7 linked regions of the Tribolium castaneum genome follow. The main gene of each other region encodes a partner of the protein of the gene in region 3 in a complex. Links are inferred from orthologs where the notes say so. Each region holds a gene or a part of one and is shown on either strand. Other genes may lie near its edges. The genes, in order: SmF, holn1, Prp8, SmD1, U4-U6-60K, U6 snRNA-associated Sm-like protein LSm6 and SmD2.

The links.
Region 1: Prp8 (region 3) and SmF share a complex: the UniProt entries of both Homo sapiens proteins name them as parts of the U4/U6-U5 tri-snRNP complex. The link is inferred for Tribolium castaneum from reciprocal best matches to the Homo sapiens genes PRPF8 and SNRPF.
Region 2: Prp8 (region 3) and holn1 share a complex: the UniProt entries of both Homo sapiens proteins name them as parts of the U5 snRNP complex. The link is inferred for Tribolium castaneum from reciprocal best matches to the Homo sapiens genes PRPF8 and CD2BP2.
Region 4: Prp8 (region 3) and SmD1 share a complex: the UniProt entries of both Homo sapiens proteins name them as parts of the U4/U6-U5 tri-snRNP complex. The link is inferred for Tribolium castaneum from reciprocal best matches to the Homo sapiens genes PRPF8 and SNRPD1.
Region 5: Prp8 (region 3) and U4-U6-60K share a complex: the UniProt entries of both Homo sapiens proteins name them as parts of the U4/U6-U5 tri-snRNP complex. The link is inferred for Tribolium castaneum from reciprocal best matches to the Homo sapiens genes PRPF8 and PRPF4.
Region 6: Prp8 (region 3) and U6 snRNA-associated Sm-like protein LSm6 share a complex: the UniProt entries of both Homo sapiens proteins name them as parts of the U4/U6-U5 tri-snRNP complex. The link is inferred for Tribolium castaneum from reciprocal best matches to the Homo sapiens genes PRPF8 and LSM6.
Region 7: Prp8 (region 3) and SmD2 share a complex: the UniProt entries of both Homo sapiens proteins name them as parts of the U4/U6-U5 tri-snRNP complex. The link is inferred for Tribolium castaneum from reciprocal best matches to the Homo sapiens genes PRPF8 and SNRPD2.

The regions. Positions count from the first base shown.
Region 1 is NC_087398.1:3,706,351-3,708,566, reverse strand, and holds SmF (small nuclear ribonucleoprotein F), read left to right. Parts: upstream 1-1,184; 5' UTR 1,185-1,300; coding exon 1,301-1,475; intron 1,476-1,527; coding exon 1,528-1,619; 3' UTR 1,620-1,716; downstream 1,717-2,216. Other genes in the region: calmodulin-like protein 4, read left to right, coding at 346-348, 399-429, 478-893. UniProt on the Homo sapiens protein: Plays a role in pre-mRNA splicing as a core component of the spliceosomal U1, U2, U4 and U5 small nuclear ribonucleoproteins (snRNPs), the building blocks of the spliceosome.
Region 2 is NC_087402.1:7,512,643-7,515,405, reverse strand, and holds holn1 (CD2 antigen cytoplasmic tail-binding protein 2 homolog), read left to right. Parts: upstream 1-1,233; 5' UTR 1,234-1,271; coding exon 1,272-2,216; 3' UTR 2,217-2,263; downstream 2,264-2,763. Other genes in the region: Etf-QO (electron transfer flavoprotein-ubiquinone oxidoreductase, mitochondrial), read right to left, coding at 2,283-2,763. UniProt on the Homo sapiens protein: Involved in pre-mRNA splicing as component of the U5 snRNP complex that is involved in spliceosome assembly.
Region 3 is NC_087394.1:7,721,991-7,726,066, reverse strand, and holds the start of Prp8 (pre-mRNA-processing-splicing factor 8), read left to right. Parts: upstream 1-1,276; 5' UTR 1,277-1,435; intron 1,436-1,674; 5' UTR 1,675-1,675; coding exon 1,676-2,034; intron 2,035-4,076. UniProt on the Homo sapiens protein: Plays a role in pre-mRNA splicing as core component of precatalytic, catalytic and postcatalytic spliceosomal complexes, both of the predominant U2-type spliceosome and the minor U12-type spliceosome.
Region 4 is NC_087394.1:7,020,357-7,022,772, reverse strand, and holds SmD1 (probable small nuclear ribonucleoprotein Sm D1), read left to right. Parts: upstream 1-1,185; 5' UTR 1,186-1,326; coding exon 1,327-1,340; intron 1,341-1,443; coding exon 1,444-1,795; 3' UTR 1,796-1,916; downstream 1,917-2,416. UniProt on the Homo sapiens protein: Plays a role in pre-mRNA splicing as a core component of the spliceosomal U1, U2, U4 and U5 small nuclear ribonucleoproteins (snRNPs), the building blocks of the spliceosome.
Region 5 is NC_087397.1:1,345,151-1,349,419, reverse strand, and holds the start of U4-U6-60K (U4/U6 small nuclear ribonucleoprotein Prp4), read right to left. Parts: upstream 2,801-4,269; 5' UTR 2,660-2,800; intron 2,600-2,659; 5' UTR 2,596-2,599; coding exon 2,427-2,595; intron 1,286-2,426; coding exon 748-1,285; intron 701-747; coding exon 302-700; intron 256-301; coding exon 1-255. Other genes in the region: zinc finger protein 131, read left to right, coding at 3,693-3,980. UniProt on the Homo sapiens protein: Plays a role in pre-mRNA splicing as component of the U4/U6-U5 tri-snRNP complex that is involved in spliceosome assembly, and as component of the precatalytic spliceosome (spliceosome B complex).
Region 6 is NC_087398.1:10,391,338-10,393,415, forward strand, and holds U6 snRNA-associated Sm-like protein LSm6, read left to right. Parts: upstream 1-1,201; 5' UTR 1,202-1,249; coding exon 1,250-1,340; intron 1,341-1,393; coding exon 1,394-1,542; 3' UTR 1,543-1,566; downstream 1,567-2,078. Other genes in the region: inosine triphosphate pyrophosphatase, read right to left, coding at 566-1,138; uncharacterized protein LOC100142353, read right to left, coding at 1,567-2,078. UniProt on the Homo sapiens protein: Plays a role in pre-mRNA splicing as component of the U4/U6-U5 tri-snRNP complex that is involved in spliceosome assembly, and as component of the precatalytic spliceosome (spliceosome B complex).
Region 7 is NC_087395.1:17,190,837-17,193,003, reverse strand, and holds SmD2 (probable small nuclear ribonucleoprotein Sm D2), read left to right. Parts: upstream 1-1,186; 5' UTR 1,187-1,286; coding exon 1,287-1,643; 3' UTR 1,644-1,667; downstream 1,668-2,167. Other genes in the region: serine-rich adhesin for platelets, read left to right, coding at 331-426; Vps51 (vacuolar protein sorting-associated protein 51 homolog), read right to left, coding at 1,924-2,032, 2,078-2,167. UniProt on the Homo sapiens protein: Plays a role in pre-mRNA splicing as a core component of the spliceosomal U1, U2, U4 and U5 small nuclear ribonucleoproteins (snRNPs), the building blocks of the spliceosome.

The sequences.
Region 1 (2,216 bases), on a different chromosome or scaffold from region 3:
TAATTGGACGGGGATTTAACAACATCTAAGCGTGGAGTGATAAGACTATCGCAAATGACGAGCTGTTTTGTTATATAACTTTATTTATTAATAAATTACGTTAGAAATGAGGCGATAAATCGATTCGTTCGGGGGGTTTACAACCCTGATTAAGGGCTCCCACTAATCGGGGCCCCAAACAATTACCTGGCACAATTGGGCGATAAAATCATCATTTTATCAGAGATAAAAATAAATAATTCATTAATGACGAGTCTGTGCCAAATTTCGTGACGCTAACTGTACTTTCACCTGTTTCACCTTGATAATAATAATACAATTGACGTGTAAATATTTACAAGAAAAATGGTAAAAATAACCCGCTAAACCCACCCCAAACCTAATCAAGCTTGTTTCAGGCCCGCTACTTCAAGGAGCAAGACATTGACGGTAGGTACCCCCGTGATAGCCCCCCAAACTAACTCGTAAATCTTGTAGAATTTCGCGAGTGTTTCTACTTGTTTGCGCGCTCGGGGCACATCAAGTCCCTGGACGAACTCACAGTGATAATGAGGAGTCTGGGGCTGTCGCCCACCATCTCAGAGCTTGCGGGTTATTTCAAGCAAAAGAACGGCAAAATGAGCTTTGCTGACTTCTTGGAGGTTATGCATATTCACTCACGGGTGGAGAACGTGCCCAAGGAGGTGGTGGACGCCTTCAAGGCTGGGGACCCGGAGGGGAAAGGGGTGATTCCGGCCAAGCAGCTGCGTCACATGTTGCAAAACTGGGGCGAGTGTCTTTCGGCCAAGGAAATTGATCGGATTTTCAGAGAGGCAAATGTTAATAACAACAGTATGGTGCGGTACGAGGATTTTGTTAAGATTGCCTGTGCACCAGTGCCGGATTATTACTAGAGGGGGCTTACCCTAACACAGTCTTTTCCACGAAATTATGTAAAACACATGTCACAAATTTTTATTTTCGGATTTTCGCACTGGGGGGTTGGCAATGATTTTTCGGTTTGGTAAAATAGAGAGCCGGCAATCAACCCCCGCACAGTTATTTATTCTAACGCCAATAAATCATTAATTGACCACAATCCTTGTTTTTTTTAATTACGGTAATTTTAGTCCAAGAATCACAAAAAAACAATATGCGCCCTAAAAAATCAGACACCCATCAACTTTTTATACGTCGATGGTGGATGGAAATTTTGACAATTGACACAATTGTCGCTCGATTCCAACCTCACTTTTGCTGGTTAGCGTTGTGTCAACGTTTTTAGTTTATTTGCGATTTTTTGCACACAAAAACAACAACCATGTCGACCGCAATGCCCATAAACCCCAAACCTTTCCTCAACGGCCTAACAGGCAAGGCTGTGATGGTAAAATTGAAGTGGGGGCACGAATATAAAGGTTACCTTGTCTCAGTTGATGGTTACATGAATTTACAATTAGCAAACACAGAGGAATTTATTGATGGGAATATGACTGGTATGTAACTATGCTTTGGAGGCGGACCCCCTTGTGTAACATTTTTTTACAGGTAACTTAGGGGAAGTTTTAATTAGATGTAACAATGTCTTGTTCATAAGAGGGGCTGAAGAAGAGGACGAGGAGGGAGAGACGAAGGATTAATTATTTAATGTAAATTCAAGTTTAAATGTACGATCGGATACTTACGTAAATAAGTATTGTAGATTTAATTTTTTACCAAATAAATCGTGTTAAAGTACTTGTTTTTTTTTCTACATGTAACGTTACGATTGTCTACCACAAAAAAAATACACAAACTGTTACGGATTATAAACAAGAGAACTTGCTTTTGAAAAAAAATACAAAAATATATTTATTTGTTTAACATTAAAGGACGCTATAAAGTGGGGGATACATACAGTGTTCTATAAATAATTATAATGGAATAAGGAAATGATAATTAAGTACCAAAAATGTAAATTAAATCCTTGTAGTTAACGGCAAAACGAACAGATAGCAGCACAACTGAAGAAAGTTCCCCTGCACTTACAGTTACCTCTCATACACCTGCTTTTGCATTTACCCGAGAGGGAGCCAAAACATACTTTATATTTTAAAAAGCATCAATTTAATTTAATTTGATAACTTTGGCACACATTGGTCACAAGAAAAATTAAAAAAAAATTAAGTGTCATCAAATGAAGAGTCAAATACTAAAAATATTTTTTGGGCCGAAGCGAAAAAATTCAAAAACCCTTT
Region 2 (2,763 bases), on a different chromosome or scaffold from region 3:
TATTGCAGAATGATTTCAAAAGTGAAACATACCTTAAAAACAGCTAAGGTGTTAAGTACAAACACAAATCATTAAATAAATAAAATATTTGTTATAGGTATACATATGTATAACTATGAACTCATGTAATTATATAGCTTTTAATAAAATATAATCATACTTTATTTCATAACGTATATCTATCTTAAACTTTAGAACTCATTTATCTTGAAAATTACTCCATATGTTAAAACGAACGATCGGTTACAACAAACAAATTCGGAAGTCACTTAGGTGTTCGTTGTAACTAAGTTTCACTGTATTATTAATTGACGCGCTTGTAGTATTTATGGCTCTACAATCTTGCATTAGGTGTAACTTAATAAACTTAAAATACAAAATTAATTAATTTTTTTTAATATCTGAACTTTTTTTAATCAGTCAATCAAATAGCAAATTCAGTTCTAGCACAAATTCTCTAAAAATGCAAGATAATTCTGAAAATCACATGGGAAAACCTGAAACAATTCTTAGTAATGTCACCAAACATGTACTAGGTATTAAATGTTCTCATTTATATTCTGAGATATGTTAAAAAATCAGCCTGTATTTATTTATGAAGTTTTAAAAAAAAAAGCGTAGCTATTTTGCACTTTTTTCTACAATATTAGTTGTACGTGTACGTTGTCGCTGACTTAAAAACTTTTTCTGTAGATATTTGCATTAGGTACTCAGGCTTGTTCTCTGTTTACTTATTGTGAATTTAATATAATATAATTTGAAACTATTAAAAACATCTTAAAACTCATTATTTCAACCATAAAAAATCAGAACCTTTAGTTTGCAATTTATTTAAAAAATAAAGCTTGTAACAAAAAAATTCTAAAATTCTGTCGTTCTGGGCTATAGCCCATTTTCTCCTTATGTAAATATGCGACTGCTAATAAGTAATGAGAGCATAAGAGAAATTCGTATTTGCACGTATTTGGAGGACATCTTTTTTGAAACACACAGTATAAACAAATTTTAAAGTAGCTTGTGCCATCTCTTGGATAGTTGCCAAACATACCATTTCAATTTTACAGTTTTTCTTAACTTTTTGGGTTTTTTACAATATATTTTTGAGTTGTTTATGTTTTAGTAATAAGCGTGGTGAAAAATTTGCGGTAAAAAAAGCTGATTATGATTATTTCCAAAAAAAACAAATATTAAAAAATTTAACCGTGGATACAAACCAAAAGTGCAGATCGGTTTTGAGAGCATGCGTGTTGTTTGTTTTGCATTTGTCAAAAATGTCAAAACGAAAATTCAACGAAGGCGATTTTTCGCAAAATAAGCGGCGCCAGGTGAAGTTTAACGCAAAAAAACATTCCTTGGATTCGGACGAAGAGGACGATTACGATGAGACCGCTGAAGAGCTCAACGCCGACGACATCGAGGGCGAAGAGGAGGGAATTTCGCGTCAGGTTGAAGGGGTCCGGATGACCGCCTTCAACATGAAAGAGGAGATGGAAGAAGGGCATTTCGACAAAGAGGGCCACTTTATTTGGAACAACGAGAAGGAAATACGGGATAATTGGTTGGACAACATCGACTGGCATAAAGTCAACAGTGACGATAAGTACCAGTTGGACCCCAACGAGAAAGGCTTGGGGGCCGAGAGTGATTCTGAGTCGGAAGCTGAGGATTTCGATGAGGTCGGTTTGTACAAAAAGATGCTCAACTACATGAAACCCAAAGAAACGGTCAACAAGTGTTTGAGGCGGTTAGGGGGCGATTTGAAGTTGTCCAGTGTCGAGAGACTGAAGCGCAAGAAGGCAGGGACTTTGAATTCGAATCAGGATGTGGCGGACATGACCGAGATCGCGAATAGTATATTAACGAAGACGGGGAACATGAACGTATACCAGGAGACTTTTGAAGAAATTACCAAAAAAATTGACGACCGAACGAAACCGAAAAACAGTGAGCCTGTTCTGGACATGTATGCTGACGACTTCGGCGACAAGGAGAAGGAGAAGATGGAGACGGCGTCAGTGTCAGGTAAACCAGAGCAGTTAATGTGGGAATTTAAGTGGGACCAAGACAAGGACCAAGTCGAGGGTCCGTACGACACCTCACAAATGTTAAAGTGGTCCAAAGAAGGGTACTTCAAGACGGGAGTGTGGGTGCGTAAGTGTGGCGAACAATCCAACTTTTACACCTCGAACCGGATAGACTTCGAGCTGTATGACTAACAGTGTTATAAAAATTTTATTATCAATATACATAAAAAGTCAAGCAATTTGCTTAAAGGCACTTAATTACATTCCGTTGTAAGCCGGGCCGCCACCTCCTTCGGGAACCACCCAGTTGATGTTCTGACTCGGGTCTTTAATATCGCAAGTTTTGCAATGTATACAGTTCTGGGCGTTGATTTGCAGCCTTTGACCGTCCCCACTTTCAAGCGGGACGAATTCGTACACTCCTGCTGGACAAAACCGGCCTTCAGGCCCGTCATAAATGCCCAAATTTTGCTTAACAGGAACGGTATCGTCCTTCAGGGTTAGATGCGGGGGTTGGTCACCTTCATGATTGGTCCCAGTCAGCGCAACGGAAGAGAGGAGATCGAAGCTGATTTTACCGTCAGGCTTCGGATAATCGATAGGTGTACAGTCTTTGGCCGGTTTGAGTCTCTTGTAATCGGGATCGCCATGTTTGAAAGTCCACGGTTCCATCCCCCCAATCATTATGGAAAATCCACTGTACATCACTCCTCCATACATCCCCAAAGGATTATGGAAG
Region 3 (4,076 bases):
TCTACAGCTTCAAAATTTTGACAATGTTTTTGGGTGACAATGAAACTCTTCTAGTTTATAACCCCACCGAAAATTGTTTTCACTATTTTCAAACACGTTTTTTATAGCAACGTGTTGTAAATTAAAATGTTTCAACAAAAAAAAATTAAAAGTTTTCGGGTATCTAGGTATGTAACTCGCATACGCTCGTTGCATAACAACAGTTCTCGAATTTTAAGTTTGTGTTTTTGCACTCGTATTATATTAATAAATATAATAATTTGTTAATCATGTTAATAACGAATGACAAAGACACCGTAAAAAAGATTGAATCAAAACTTTTGAAAAATTAAAAATGACACAGATTGTTTTATTTTTGCACTGATTACTGTCAGTTTCTCTTATTGTAGCCAGCAGTAATCGGCTAACATACTATTTTTATCCCAAAAACTTTGGTAAACTTTTTTTCATAAGACTTTAAATCTCGACGAAAACGTTTACCATTTGATCGCTTAAGTTTCCTGGGTTTTATTAGGATTATTTAAAAAAAAAAAAAAACAAAAGTTGTTTGGACTTAGTCTACAATAACTTGACGAAAATTTAAAGCAAATAAAATGTTTCACAATTAGTTTATCTCACAAACAACGAATGCTAAACTTGACAACTTGACCGATTTATAAAGCGTTATTAACTTAATTCGTAATTAAATGCGTGATTAACTGATCACGTGACCAAAGTGAAGCAATTTGGTTGGTCCATTTGCGTTGTTAACTTTTAACAACGCAATTAACTTTAATTGAGCTTTCTGTAAACCGGCTCTTAGTGAGTATATTAAAAAACTAGACGTGATAGACAAACGTGAGATATCTTTTAGTTATCAGTGAGTATGCAGAAAACAAAACCAGTATAAATTATCTCTTGATAAAATAAAAATAATTGTAAACTAGTGTAATTCTTTTATTCTTCTTGTTTTAATTACTAGTAATTATCATTGTTTATCTTATTTTTACTTCAAGAATGCTTTAAACGGAATAAGTGGTTCAGGCGTAAACTTATGTTTAAACACCTTGTATTTAATATTTGTACCACGATTTTTTTTACAAGGCAGAATTTAAAAATGTGCAAACGTAAGCTAATATGCGAAGGCAAAAACACTTTGCTTTCGCTAGACGCTAATTATTTATCTACATCAGTGGTCCTCGTATAAGCATTATAGGCCACCAACAAAACACGATTGCTTAGAATTTAAAGTTGACAACCACTGCTCTGTTTTAGTGGATTTAGTGTTCTTTGTAATTGTGAGATTGGTATTGATAATCGTAAATATGGCGCTTGCAGGTGATGTGTGCGAATGAGAAAATGAACGCCGCATCAAAACGTAAAGTGAACGTTTTAGATGCATTTAAGCACTAAAACAGTAAAATTATCAATTTTGTTCAAGTTTTAAAAGGACAAGGTGAGTTTAAACCAATTTAAGTTAGATAATTCACTTATTTCGTTATTTGTGTACAGAAGCGGTTAGTACAAAAAGTGCGTTTCCTTTCCTTGTAAAAACTACCGTAACAACGTTCCACCTAAAAACGATTACAATTTAACTTCGTTTTTACGAATTGTTACCATTTACATTACTAAAATCACCGCAACTTATTATCCTGTATTAACACATGGTTATGCTTGGTTTTATATTACTTTCAGAATGTCGCTGCCCCCGTATCTTTTGGGGCCGAACCCATGGGCCACCATGATGGCCCAGCAGCACCTGGCTGCAGCCCATGCCCAGGCCCAGGCCGCTGCAGCTCAGGCCCATGCTCATGCTTTACAACAACAAATACCGCCCCCACATCCAAAGTCGGATGTGATGACTGAAGAAAAACTCCAGGAAAAAGCCCAAAAGTGGCATCAACTTCAGTCGAAACGATTTGCCGATAAACGAAAACTTGGCTTCGTTGATGCCCAGAAGGAGGATATGCCGCCTGAGCACATTCGGAAGATTATTAGGGATCATGGGGACATGAGCAGTCGTAAATATCGACACGATAAACGCGTTTATTTGGGGTAAAATTTCACTTTTTTTGTCAACGTATTCAAATATTAAACGTATTAAATATCTGCTTGAATGTTTGCTTCAGTGATAGCTTGTTGATCACTGATAACAACGTTGTTTTTGTGCAAATTGAATGTTAATTAATTCTTTTCCGGTTTTCGGAAAACGGTAAAAACACTTTTTTGTATTATATTTTGATCAATTATGAAATTAAAATTTTGGGGCTTATTTCGAAAATTTTTTATCAAAAATTTTGATTCTTAAAATCATTTCTCAAGTTTAAAAAGTAAATGTGGAGGGTTAATTCATTTTCAAAACTGTTGCTATTTGGAAGGACGACTGTACAAAGAAAATGAAAATATTTTAAGAATGCAAGCTGCTAATAATGAGGTAGTAAAGTTTAGAAAAAGCGGGCGATAAATAAATCTTTTTATGATGAAATTATTGATTTAAGGCGAGATTTGCTTATACTGTATCATAAAATGTTTGGTTAGTATATAGAATAGATAAATATTTAGTAAAGCTCGTAAAAACTTTGAAAGAAATGTAGATTTGGAACAAGTAAAATTTGAAATATGTTTACTGACATTTTTAGGGAAAAACAGTAAACGCTCAAAACATAATATGAATAATTGCAATATTATTGGGAAACACAAAATTATTTTCATCTAAGATCGTATCGAATAAGATGCGGATTATCTGCTTTCAGCAAACACATTTGCAAATTAGAGAAATAAAGACAGAATATTTAATAAATTTACAAAACAAAAACGAGAGCAAAATTTGGAATTTACAAAAAAAATTAGCAAATGACAAACACATTTATAGTGGTTCAGATTGATTTAAACATTACAGTGATTTTTTTAAAACGAGCCAAATTTTGAGAAGAAATTTTTTGTTGAAAGGGCATACATTGTAGTGTACTTATTTGAAATACAAAGTACTCTAAATATTCTAAATAGCGTGGTCCTAAAGATATGTTCATTGATTGTCATTTCTCTCTATGCAGTATCCAAAGCGTTTTTTAAGCTCTTGCCGTCTAATTTTGCTTTTAGAAATTTTTCTAATTTTATTGGTAATTTCTTGTTTTAAATTATCTAACTTTTTTGGTAGTGTTTTAAAGATTATAAAGTGAATTGAAGATCCATCATTAATGTGCAAGGTATATTTGAAAGAGTTAACGAAAAATGTCTACTTGCACGTCCAAGTTGGATTTTCATTAACCCTTTTAAAGATTATGTTTTAAGATTGTCAAATCTTACATTAAATGACAAAACTATCTTAAAAAAAATTGGTTAATTCAGGAAATAAGAAAAAAATACGAAGCCTGAAAATGGACAATTTTCATTGATAGAGGGACATTTTTTCTCGCTTTTTGTAAATTTGTAGCACTTATAAATCCCTTTGTAATATAGATCATTTTTGAAAATTTTAAATAGTACCACTCTCTTGTAAAACCTACAAATGAACAGTTAACTGCATAAACTGTTTAAAAATGTTTGGGATATTGGTGTTTTAATATACACTGCTCCACAACAGTTATAAAGTTCTAATTATTTTTACATTAAACAAATTCTATCAATTTTCGGGCATTAGAAGCTAATAATAACAAATCAGAAAATAAAGTATTTGCTTTTAATTTCATTCTTGTTATCAGTTGAATTTTTCTAAAATTCAGTATTATTCTTAACTTTTTTCAGTCAAGTTTATTGGAATGAATTTACAAATTCAGTTCTAGTTCTCTATGCAAGATAGTAGTTCTGAAAATTAAATTAAAAAAAAACCTGAAAAAATTCTTAGTAATGCCACCAAACATGCACTAGATTTTTAAATGCCTCTTCTATTTTCTAAGATATTTATGAAAAAATCACTGTATTTATTTAAAGTTTTTTTTTTTAAACGTGACTTTTTTACAACTTATTTCATTTCTATAATATTACGTTATCGCTGACTTCTGACTTTTTTTGTATTGTGAACTACTCAGGCTTTTTCTACCATTTTTCTTCGTAAATTTTCTATAATATGAATTGAAACTACAACTAAAAACTCCGTA
Region 4 (2,416 bases), about 700 kb from region 3:
TTTTTTTATTTAAATTTCATAATCGATCGTTCACTGGTAAATAACCACCTAGTCTTTTAACATAATTCAAAAAAGTAAAACTAGAAAATTTGTATCCAAAAATGACTTTTTGTAAATTTTTTGGGTAAAAATGGTTTTATTTAAGTAACATTTTAATAAAATTGTACTAATAAACTTGTACTTGCAACGTAGTCATTTGATAACTTAAAACTAACCGGAATTTTTCAGTTCTTTCGACAGAGGTCAGAGTTGCGACCGGACCCGAGATCTTGCGAAAATGATTATTACTAGTTTTGTGTTATCTATTCTAATATTGTAATAAATAACATAAATTAATCAGTAACAAGTGTTTTTCAAATACTTTAGGTAGGGGAGAGTGGGGTTATTATGTACAGTGAATAATTATGCCCAAATTTCTGTAGGTTAACCCTCTTATCCTATAATCTAATTTTGCCCATTATAATCGTGTCCACATAATTTCAGCAATTTTGAAGCCTCACTCAAAAACTGTCAAACTAAAAACGTATCTTTCTCATGTTATAGTTATAATTTAGGCGAAAACAAGTCAAAAATTACTTTTTTTAACTTTTCAGATAAGTATTTTCTAACTTCTTATTAACATATAATTTATATAATCGACCTAATCTTAAATTTTTCTCCGCAAAATGTATTCATACAGTGGAACCCCTGTCACCCGAACGGGGATAAACCGACTCCACCAATTATTTTGTTCAATTTCAAATTTTGAATTCGAAAAATTTTTATAACACGAATTTTTGTTTAATTAATTAATTAACTAAAAACACGCAACTAATAAAAATTAAGAACAAGAACACTAGATGCACTAGAGAGAGTTGAGATTTTTAAGGTAAACACTTTGTTGGATTAGTTAAAAAAATTGCTCATATTATAATAACAGGAATCACTTGAACTCAACAAAAGTATTATTCCACTGTATTCTACAAAGATGATTTGAAGTGGCAACGGCCTATTCGGGTGATCGAAGTTCGACTGTATAAAGCAAAATATTTCATTGTTACTACGTGCCAATAGCAAGGTTATTTTGATAATAGCTGTGATAATAGTAAATAATAAAGAATTGTTTTTATTTTCAGAGTCCATAATTATCTGCAAACCTATAAAAAAAATAACGATTTAAAATTGGCGCCACGTAAGTGGCGCTCCCTTCGCAAGTTTTCTTGCCATCTCTTTCTTATATGCTCATTCTCTTTCCCTCTATGGAAGAGGGGGGGTAAAAAAACGTAAGCCAAGCGTGTTTTGCCGGCATAATATAAAAATTGTCTTAATTACACCAAAAATATCAACATGAAATTAGTAAGGTGAGAACGTAAACTACTGATTGATCAGACACGTTTTTATTTCCTTGAATTCCAAGTAAAACTCCTGAAAAACCACCTAACCTAACATTTCGGCCATTTTCAGGTTTTTAATGAAACTGAGCCATGAAACGGTCACAATGGAGCTGAAAAACGGCACACAAGTCCATGGCACTATAACCGGTGTAGATGTGGCCATGAATACGCACTTAAAAGCTGTAAAAGTGACTGTAAAGAACCGAAATCCTGTGAACTTAGACACCCTAACAGTTAGAGGAAACAACATTCGTTACTACATTTTGCCCGATAGTTTACCCCTCGAGACTCTGCTGATTGACGACACCCCCAAAGCCAAGGCCAAGAAGAAGGAGAGCGCCCGGGGGGCTGCCAGAGGCCGCGGGAGGGGCCGTGGCAGAGGGGGCCCCCGAGGCAGGGGCAGAGGGAGAGGGCGTAGATAAGAATACGTTCATTAAATTAAGTTTCGTAATTGTAAGTGTGAATCTTTTCGTTTAGTTCCAGTATTTGTAAAACTTTTATAATTCTGCTAAATTCATCAATAAAACATATTTAGGTTTAAAATGTCTTTGTTATTAAAAATCGGGACCTTGTACTAAAATGTATAAAACGTAAACTGTGAAACAAACAAAACAGAAGGCGGCTACAAATGCGAATGATTTTCGATTGTGTCTGTGGAGTTGTGAAAGTTGGTTTTCGTTTGTGGTTAAAAGTTTGCGAACTTCTCGTAACTCTTTCTTCATGTCGGCTTTTTTCTCGTTGGGGATTTCATCAGATTCGATCTTTTTTTCTAAAAGTTGGACCCTCACGTAACAGGCTTTGATTGCTTCTTCTGTTTTTGTTATCTACAAATGGTTAAATGAGTTTGGTAAAATTAACGTTTTACTGATTACCTCCTTCATGACGGAACATTCTCCTAAAGATAGCCCCATTTTTCGGGTGGTCTTAAACACTGACTATCAATACAGAAACAGATGGACTATCACTTTATTTAACCTCAATTTTTTTTATATTAATAATTATTTTACAAATTTAGGAACATTCTCTTACTTTCAATACAAAAA
Region 5 (4,269 bases), on a different chromosome or scaffold from region 3:
GAAGTAATTAGGTAATCGCCGCCGTCCCTTTGAAACTTCACCTCCGAAATTAAATTCGTATGAGCTGGGATTGTGTACAAGACGGAACGTTTGCGCAAATCCCAAATTTTGCAAGTGTTGTCTTCGCTAGACGTGGCAATGTGGTAGCCATCAGGGGAAAAATCTATCCCTAGAACCGCCTTTAAGTGACTCTCCATGAACATGATGCATCTTCCGGTCCTCAAGTCCCACACACGTCCAAATGAGTCTAAACCACTGTTGGGAAATTAATTATTTGTCACAATTTACCAAAAGTATTTACCCTGTGGCACAGACCGATCCATCAATCTGGAAGGAAATACAATAGACAGGTTTGACGTGTCCTTCCTGGTGTAAAACTTCGGTGCATTGCTGCAAATCCCACAATCTCCAGGAACAGTCAAAGCAACAAGTCCCGAGAAACCTTCCAGAGGGATGAAAGCCCAACCGGGAGACACGATGTGGCATATGGCCCTCGATATCAGCGATCGGTTCCTCGCTTTGAAAATCCCACAATTTTACTGAACCATCGGCTGCACACGATGCCATATTGCAAATATTTTCCTCCTGGCTGATTGTTGCTCTAGGGTGGAAAATAATAGCACTGGCATTACAGGCGTGACCTTTCAGGGTCTGTTTGAGTGTGCAGTCGGGCACTGACCACACTTTACACAACCCGCTCCTTGAATCAAACAAATAATTTCATTTCACTTATTAAATGATAATTACCATCCAGCTGTGGCTAAAAGTTTCGAATCTGGACTAAACTGGCAATAGGCAATAGGTCTCGAATCGCCAATCTGACTCGAATAAATCGACATAATCTGGAGTTTTTTCTGTATTTCCTGCTTCTTGGCTGTTCTAGTAGCCGTTGATAAATCCTTCGCTTTTCTGGCTTCCTCAAGCCGGGCTTTGGCCCGCGGCAGTGAATAGTGCGCTATCCATAATCTGGCTATTCGCAAACTTTCGGGGCCTTCATGATACCACGTTGTTTCGAGATCTTTTTCGAAATTTTTACGTTCTTCTTCGGCTTCGCGTCGAATGACTGCGTCTTCACCGATACGACTTAGTATTTCACGGAGGCGTGAACGCCGATCTGCCGGTCCTTCCCCGAATAGACAGATCGGTTCTCCCAATTGGCGAAGGTTTCGTTTCACTTCGGCGTCATCGGTGGAGACGTTAATAGAGCGCGCTTTACGACGACGCTCGAATTCCTCCAAGAGGGCTTGCTTGTCGCGGGACATGGCGTCCTCAAGCTCCATGTATTCTGAATAAATTAAACGTAACAGTATTTATTAGATTCAAGTGAAAGATTTTAACATAAAAACAGGCACCTAAGCACGCATTTTTAATAATTGTGTGATAATTGCTGTTATATAAACATTTTTTTTATTTACCATTCGTAGGTACACCTACAAACTGTTCTTTTTAAAAAGCAAAAATTATATAAAGCTGGGGCCTATGGCACAACTTTTTTCAATTTAATATTATTGTGCATTTATGGCATTAAAGGAGTTCTAATACGAATTATTTATTTAATAGCGCAATAAAGCATTTGATTTAATAACACCGCGGCTGTCAGTTTCAAAGCCAAAGTGCAAGTTAATCGCTGTATTAAACCTGATTTTTTCCTGAATCACTCAGGTTTTATATTTTTTTAAAAATCTGTAATCATATTATTTCGCATGACAAAGCAACTCGAGTCAATATGTGAACCTAGTTATTGACTGGGCCGTTAATAAGCCACTCTTGAGCGCTTCAAATGTCACTAAATGTCGACTGGCAAAAAATTTATCACAAGAATTTGGAGAAAATATTGGCTACAATGTTGAGACTTTAACCTTCTGCTTACCAGCTTTTTTTGAGATAAATTACGATGAAATTCATTTAAACGATCAGTTACAACGATAAATTTTACTCTTAATACTCTCATGTAATAAAGATACCAGGGTAAATTACTCGGTTTTTTATTTTTGAAAAAATAGTAGTTCATAAAGGAGTTTTAGCAAAATCAGTGGCAAAACTGTTAAGATAAAGTTAACAATATACTCAAAAAATGGAATACAACTGGACAGGTGGAATTAGTTTTACTGGTTGCATCAGATTTCAGAACTAACTCATGACTGACTCACCCTGTATAAATAAATAAATAATAAGATTTTAAGTATTCTAATAAAAAACTTTGATTCCATGACTCAAAATTTGGTTTTACAGAAATTACAAAAAACAGAACCTGGGTTTTGAGCCACGAGGCTCCATTAAGGAATAAGAAATATATAATGTACCACTTGTACTAGATTTTTCGTGAATATTTTAGCGCTACATTAAACTGATGTTGACTTGAGCTTTAGCTCATTTGTGTGCGAGGTTTTGGCATTTGGACGAAATTACGGATGCCAAAGTAATACCTGTGGAAATGTGAACCTGTGGCGGGTTCGCCGACGTGCTTTCGGCCTTTTCATTGCTATCATCGTTCCCATCGCCGGCTGCTAACCTAGCTCTTTCCGCTTCCTCCAACGAGCCGTAGTGAATATTTTTGGTTTTTTTCACGTAAGGCGCGTCCTCATCGTCGGACATGGTGCTAAAAATTGAGCAAAAATGAGTATTTGTGCAAGTTAATTCGTAAAAAACGTTTGTTTACATGTTATCACTGCTATCGGTTCAAAACGTAACGTCAAGTTGACATTTGTCGCAAAAAAAGTAACCAAAACCGCCTGGTGAGTTCAGTGTAGCCAACGGCAAGTTTTTACGATTTCTTCCACAAAAGAAATATTTCTGTTTTCTTTACATAGCGTTTTGCTATCTCTGTCTAAATTTTTTTCCAAAAAATTCCATGAGAGAGAGAGATTATCAAGTTCGGTCCGGAAATCTTAGTAAATGTACGATGTTGTGCCGCGGAAACCGCCTAAATAGCCGTGCAATGTCCGTGCTGGTGTTTTGTGTGCGAAAATCGTGAAAGAATCGGTGAATTTGTGCGAAATCGGCGCGACGACCGATCGTTGAACTTGAACAGTTGATAGATTTTCTCTTTCTTTCCCAGGCTCTGAAAAATCTCAAGTTTATAAAAATAAATATGAAAGGCCTAATTACAGTACAGTCCGAGTCTGTGTCGGTTTAATTTTTGACCCCGTTTTGGATCTGCGTTAGTCGAGTTTGGTGCCGTTAGTTAGGCTGAAAAGCCGTTGCTCTCGACAAATATTTGTGTGTGACGAAAAACCTCGACAATTCCCAAGATTTTTTACGCGAGAATTTTTTAAGACGTGCGGTATTGATTTGCCTTAAAGGCTTGGCCCGGCGAATATACGGACTATACATGGTTTATAGGGGTCTTACGTGGTTTCTATTGGCTCACTGACTCATAAAAAACTAAGGGACACATTTTTTGTCGGAATTTTCCAAATGACTGAACATTTACATACGCGTCTCCAAATTTTTGAGAAATCCTCGGCCGGACTTTGTATTGTTAAACCTCGCAAAAACAGTCGACTTGCGGATGCGTTGTGCCGTGCCAGTGAAGTGGTGGTGATTTAAAAAACAAACGCTCGCCCAAAGGCCCCAAAACCGACGAGTATTGATTATTTCGAAGGTCTCACGCTGGTGACTCATTACTTTTTGGTAAATTCGTCATCTCCAACGCGAACAGTCGGAAGGAAGCTGGACGAACATAACCAAAAATGCTGCCTCAACAGTATTGTCTAAGATGGAGGTACCACCATTCGAACTTGCAGACCATGTTCTCGCAGCTCCTCGAGAAGGAGGCCTTCTGCGACGTCACCTTGGCCTGCGAGGGGCGCACCATCAAGGCCCACAAGATCGTCCTCTCCGCCTGCAGCACCTACTTCGAAACCATCCTGTCCCAGTACGAAGAAAAAGACCCCATCCTCATCATGAAAGATGTCAAATATGTAGATATTAAGTGCTTGGTCGAGTTCATGTACAAAGGAGAGATCAACGTCGACCACGTAAGCCCCCTTTAAAAAAAGCAAAACCCTTCAATTTTTCATGACCCCATGAGAAACTCCACTTGGCCCGCAAACTGCCAACAATCGATTCTCCTCGCAACGTCAATAAAACCCTAGAGTTCCTTTATTGGGAGAGTTGGGACACTGAACGTCAAACCGAGCCAATTTTGTATTATGTGGATAGGGTATATATTTCTATCCTTTTTTATTAAAATTTTTGTTAGTAACTTATGTCAAAGGTTTATGTCGAAAATAATTTCAAGGTTATAATTTTTGTCAAATGCATAAA
Region 6 (2,078 bases), on a different chromosome or scaffold from region 3:
GCACACTAAAAATAATAAATGGACTGTAAAAATAATAATTGCACAGTAAAAATAATAAATGCACAGTAAATAATAGCATCTCAAAACTAGAGTGTGTAGAATTTCACATTTCCAATTTTACGTTTTTGAGTTTAATCGTTCGAGGAGTATTTTTCCTTTTAGTTTGCTGGGGCGAAGCCCTAGACTGCAAGCTAGCTACTGAGCGTTTATTATTTAAACTGTGCAAACTGAAACTAGATCCTGTGCATATACGATTTTTTTATTGGGCAAATTTTAAAAAAATACTGTGCGTGGTTTACTTGTCATTTAAATTTTTTACTGTGCAAAAATGAATTAAATACTGATGATTTATTATTTTTTACTGATTAAAATCGAATTTTTTACTGATCGCTTTATTACTATCCTTTCAATAATGGCATTTGAGTACTAAAAAGTACTACCCCCCGGACTGTTTTGTTATAAACCTGCCGGAGAAATAAGAAAAGCGTAACAAAAAAGCACTCAAATCAAACAAAACAATTTATTTAAGTTGATTAAAGTCAAATAAAACTAAAACGACAAAACATTATTGTTTCTCTTGGTTCATAAAATGATTCCTCAGCGCGTCCAAGGCGCGGTACCGATGAGAGATTTTATTCTTCTCCTCTTTGGGCATCTCGGCGTACGTCTGCGTGTACCCCACTGGCTGGAAACACGGATCCCATCCAAAATCCCTCGGCCCCCTCGGCATCACAATCTCTCCATCCGTGCGCCCCTCGAACAGAATCACTTTGCCCCCTTCATCGCCCGGATGATATGCAAAAGTACAAACGGCCTGGGCACTCTTATCCTCATGCCCAGCCAGTAGTCGAAACAGCCCCTCAGGACCCAACTTATCCAAGAACCACTTAATATAAGGACCGGGCAAACCACCCAATGCGTTGAAACACAGACACGTGTCTTCGACGATACACGGCCCCTTGATGATTTCGTACGCCGCTTGGCATTTTTTCACGCAAATATCGGCGATTTCGCCCTGGAGCTCAGGGAGGTCCACTTTTTGACTCACCACTTTGCGTGGGAATGTCGAGCCGAGGATGGCAACCACCTCTTCGAGCTTTTTGGCGTTGCCGGTGACGAATGTTAGCGGTTTCGACATGGTTTTGCGTGAAAAAAACAGGAAGTGGGGTTATGTACATGCCGATTTGAGGTTAGGTTTTTGTCAGCCGAGGCGGTTAAATAAGCAAATTTGAGCCACAAGCTGATAAGGATGAGTCGCAAAGAAGCCCTTTCGTCTTTTATTCAACAAATTCACGCCAGGCCTGTTGTGGTCAAGTTGAATAGTGGTGTAGATTACAGAGGTGAGGTTATGTTTGTTTTTTGTCAATGAAGGGGGCTATTATTTGGTTTTTAGGTGTTTTGGCTTGTCTCGATGGCTACATGAACATAGCGTTGGAGCAAACCGAGGAATACGTCAACGGACAACTCAAAAATAAATTCGGGGATGCGTTTATTAGGGGCAACAATGTGCTCTACATAAGTACACAAAAACGTAGAATCTAATGTATTTTTTGTAATAAAAACGTTTCAAAACTCAAAGTCGTTCATTAAAGCGCACTGATCGATTCTCGTAGAGCTGTTGTATAGCTCAAATAACTCGTTATTTGTCTCACACTCTTGTTTCTTTTTCTTACTTTTAACGAGACTACAGTTCTGATATTTAAATTCATTCAATGTGTTGTCCGGAGGAGTTGGATAAAATTCACAGATGAAGTCCAATTTAATTTTACAATTGAGTGCCCTCCACGTTTTTTCAACATCTAACATGACACAGTCTTCTTTTCTTCGTCCTGGTCTTGGGTGGCCCACAGCCCAGGCCCGAAACCGCGAACATTGCAAAAAGTCCCCCATTGGAGTCTCAAAACTCCCCTCAACCGTAATGTCGTCAAGGCCAACGTATGCCCCCTTGTACCAGTTAGGCAAAGACTTGAGTAACGCAGCTAGTGCGTTCGTCCTTGCCTCAGTCAAAATATCAGCCAGGTCGCCCCCCAAATCCTGGCACCGACGTGCGGCGCTGGAATAATTCATTTTTTCCTGAA
Region 7 (2,167 bases), on a different chromosome or scaffold from region 3:
TTTTCGCGTATAAACGCCCGGAAAATCATTTCCAAATCAAACTCCTCTACATAGAACTACTCTACATTTCCCCAAAAATTACCTGAGCAAAAGTCCACTCTTATAAACACTTGCGTCAAAAATAGAAAATTGCCCAACACAAACAATATCATTGAATACAGCGCGTGTATCTCGACACAAGAGGCATTCAGCAAGCAGCCGTAAGCATCGGCTATTATCCTATTTAGTCCGAAGTGGCCCCTAACGAGATTTAAATATGTTCATCGTCGATGTCAAACATATGAACTTTATTCCATTCATCTGGTCAATTGATTAATTGAATTAAGGTAGGCACACGAAGACCGAACTCATGAAAAACGAAGCCTCAAATGCGGGACCTTAGACGGGCGGCGACAGGAAACGCCGCAAATGAGGAAGTCGAATTAAGAATTATTAAATCTGACAACGTGTGACAAGAAAACAGACTTTTTTTGGTGATTTTCATCCATGCGGTATAAAGCAGCCAGACCGAGGAGATTTCAAAAACATCACCTTCGGCGCAACTACTTAATACCGGGTGGACAAGAGGCTTTCTTCTGGTGCGTTTCTTCAAGTATTTAATTTATATAGCGGGACGGGGTGGTTTATCGGCTCCTCACTGCATTTTAATGATTATTCTATTATTATTTGCGTTGGCATTGCTTGTATACTTAAATAAACACGCTGCTGGAATAATTACTTGCACTGGTTATCTCTTATTGTTATACTTACTATAAATAAAGAGTGATTATTGTTTATCGTAATTATTTAATTTTCGATTCTGGGGCTAACAAATTGCTGGGAATTAAACTCCCTTCGTTGGAAAAATGCACTGCAATACTCGTATTTGCAATATTTATTACATTTTCTAGTTAAATTATAATAAACGGTGCATTCCCCTATCTGATTCATTAATAGCTTGTTGCTCTTATATTTAACGTCTTCATCTCAATGGATTATAAATTGGTTTATTTGCTCGATTTTGTAATTAGTTTTTAGATCGTGGTTTTTGAGTATGTTAAAACTCTTAATTAATTATTCAAAAGAGTAATCTTAATGTAACTTTAAATGTGAGAAGAATAATTGTTGATTTAATTCGAAGTTTGTTTTCTTCACTTTAAATGTTTGAATCTGCCGCCATAGTATTAAACCCAGTTTGCGCATGCGCATTGCAAAATTCCCCAAACGCATCCAAAACGCTCAAATTCCTAACCTAACTATTTTTGTGCCGGAAAAAGTGTTGTTTTAAGTGCAAAAACCGAGTCAGAATGGCTTTAACGAAACCCAAGTCTGAAATGACGGCCGAGGAGCTTCAGGCTCGCGAGGAGGAAGAGTTCAACACGGGCCCCCTTTCGGTGCTCACTCAGTCGGTGAAGAACAACACTCAGGTGCTGATAAACTGCCGAAACAACAAGAAATTGCTGGGGCGGGTGAAGGCGTTCGATCGGCACTGCAACATAGTGTTGGAGAATGTGAAGGAAATGTGGACAGAGCTGCCCCGGCCTGGAAAGGGGAAGAAGAAAGCCAAGCCGGTAAATAAGGATCGGTTCATTTCGAAAATGTTTCTGCGAGGCGATGCGGTTATTATAGTTGTAAGGAACCCCCTAGCTACGGCTAGTGGTTAATTAGGAATAAAATTTGTATCTTCAGTTTAGTGTTTATTGAGGAAATTCACTTACCTATCACTTCACTCGTGTGGTCCTTCTGTTCTGCGGTTGATTGATACCGCGAACGTGATACTGTGGAAATATCACATTCATGTCGTTGCAAATGAAAGATTGAACGGTTTTTTAACATTTATCTATAAAAATAATACAACAAAATGTGATAAAATTTCTCCTTTTTATTTAAACAAGATAATACAAAAGAATAATAAATATTTGTAACTTATGCAAGCTGCATGACCTAACCCCTTTCACATATGATGTCCACAACGCTTGGTTCCATTAAAATCGGTTCCAGGCACCTGTGGACTGCTGATCCCAAAATCTCATCCAGGAGGAAATGAACCAAGCTGGAAAATTCAATTAATTTCACTAAATTCAAATTCGTGACGTACTTTTCATCCGCAACAAATCGCCACAAATACAACTGCAAGTAATGCGTGTCCACTTGAATTTGTTGGAGGCCAAATTTACTAAAAGTCTTC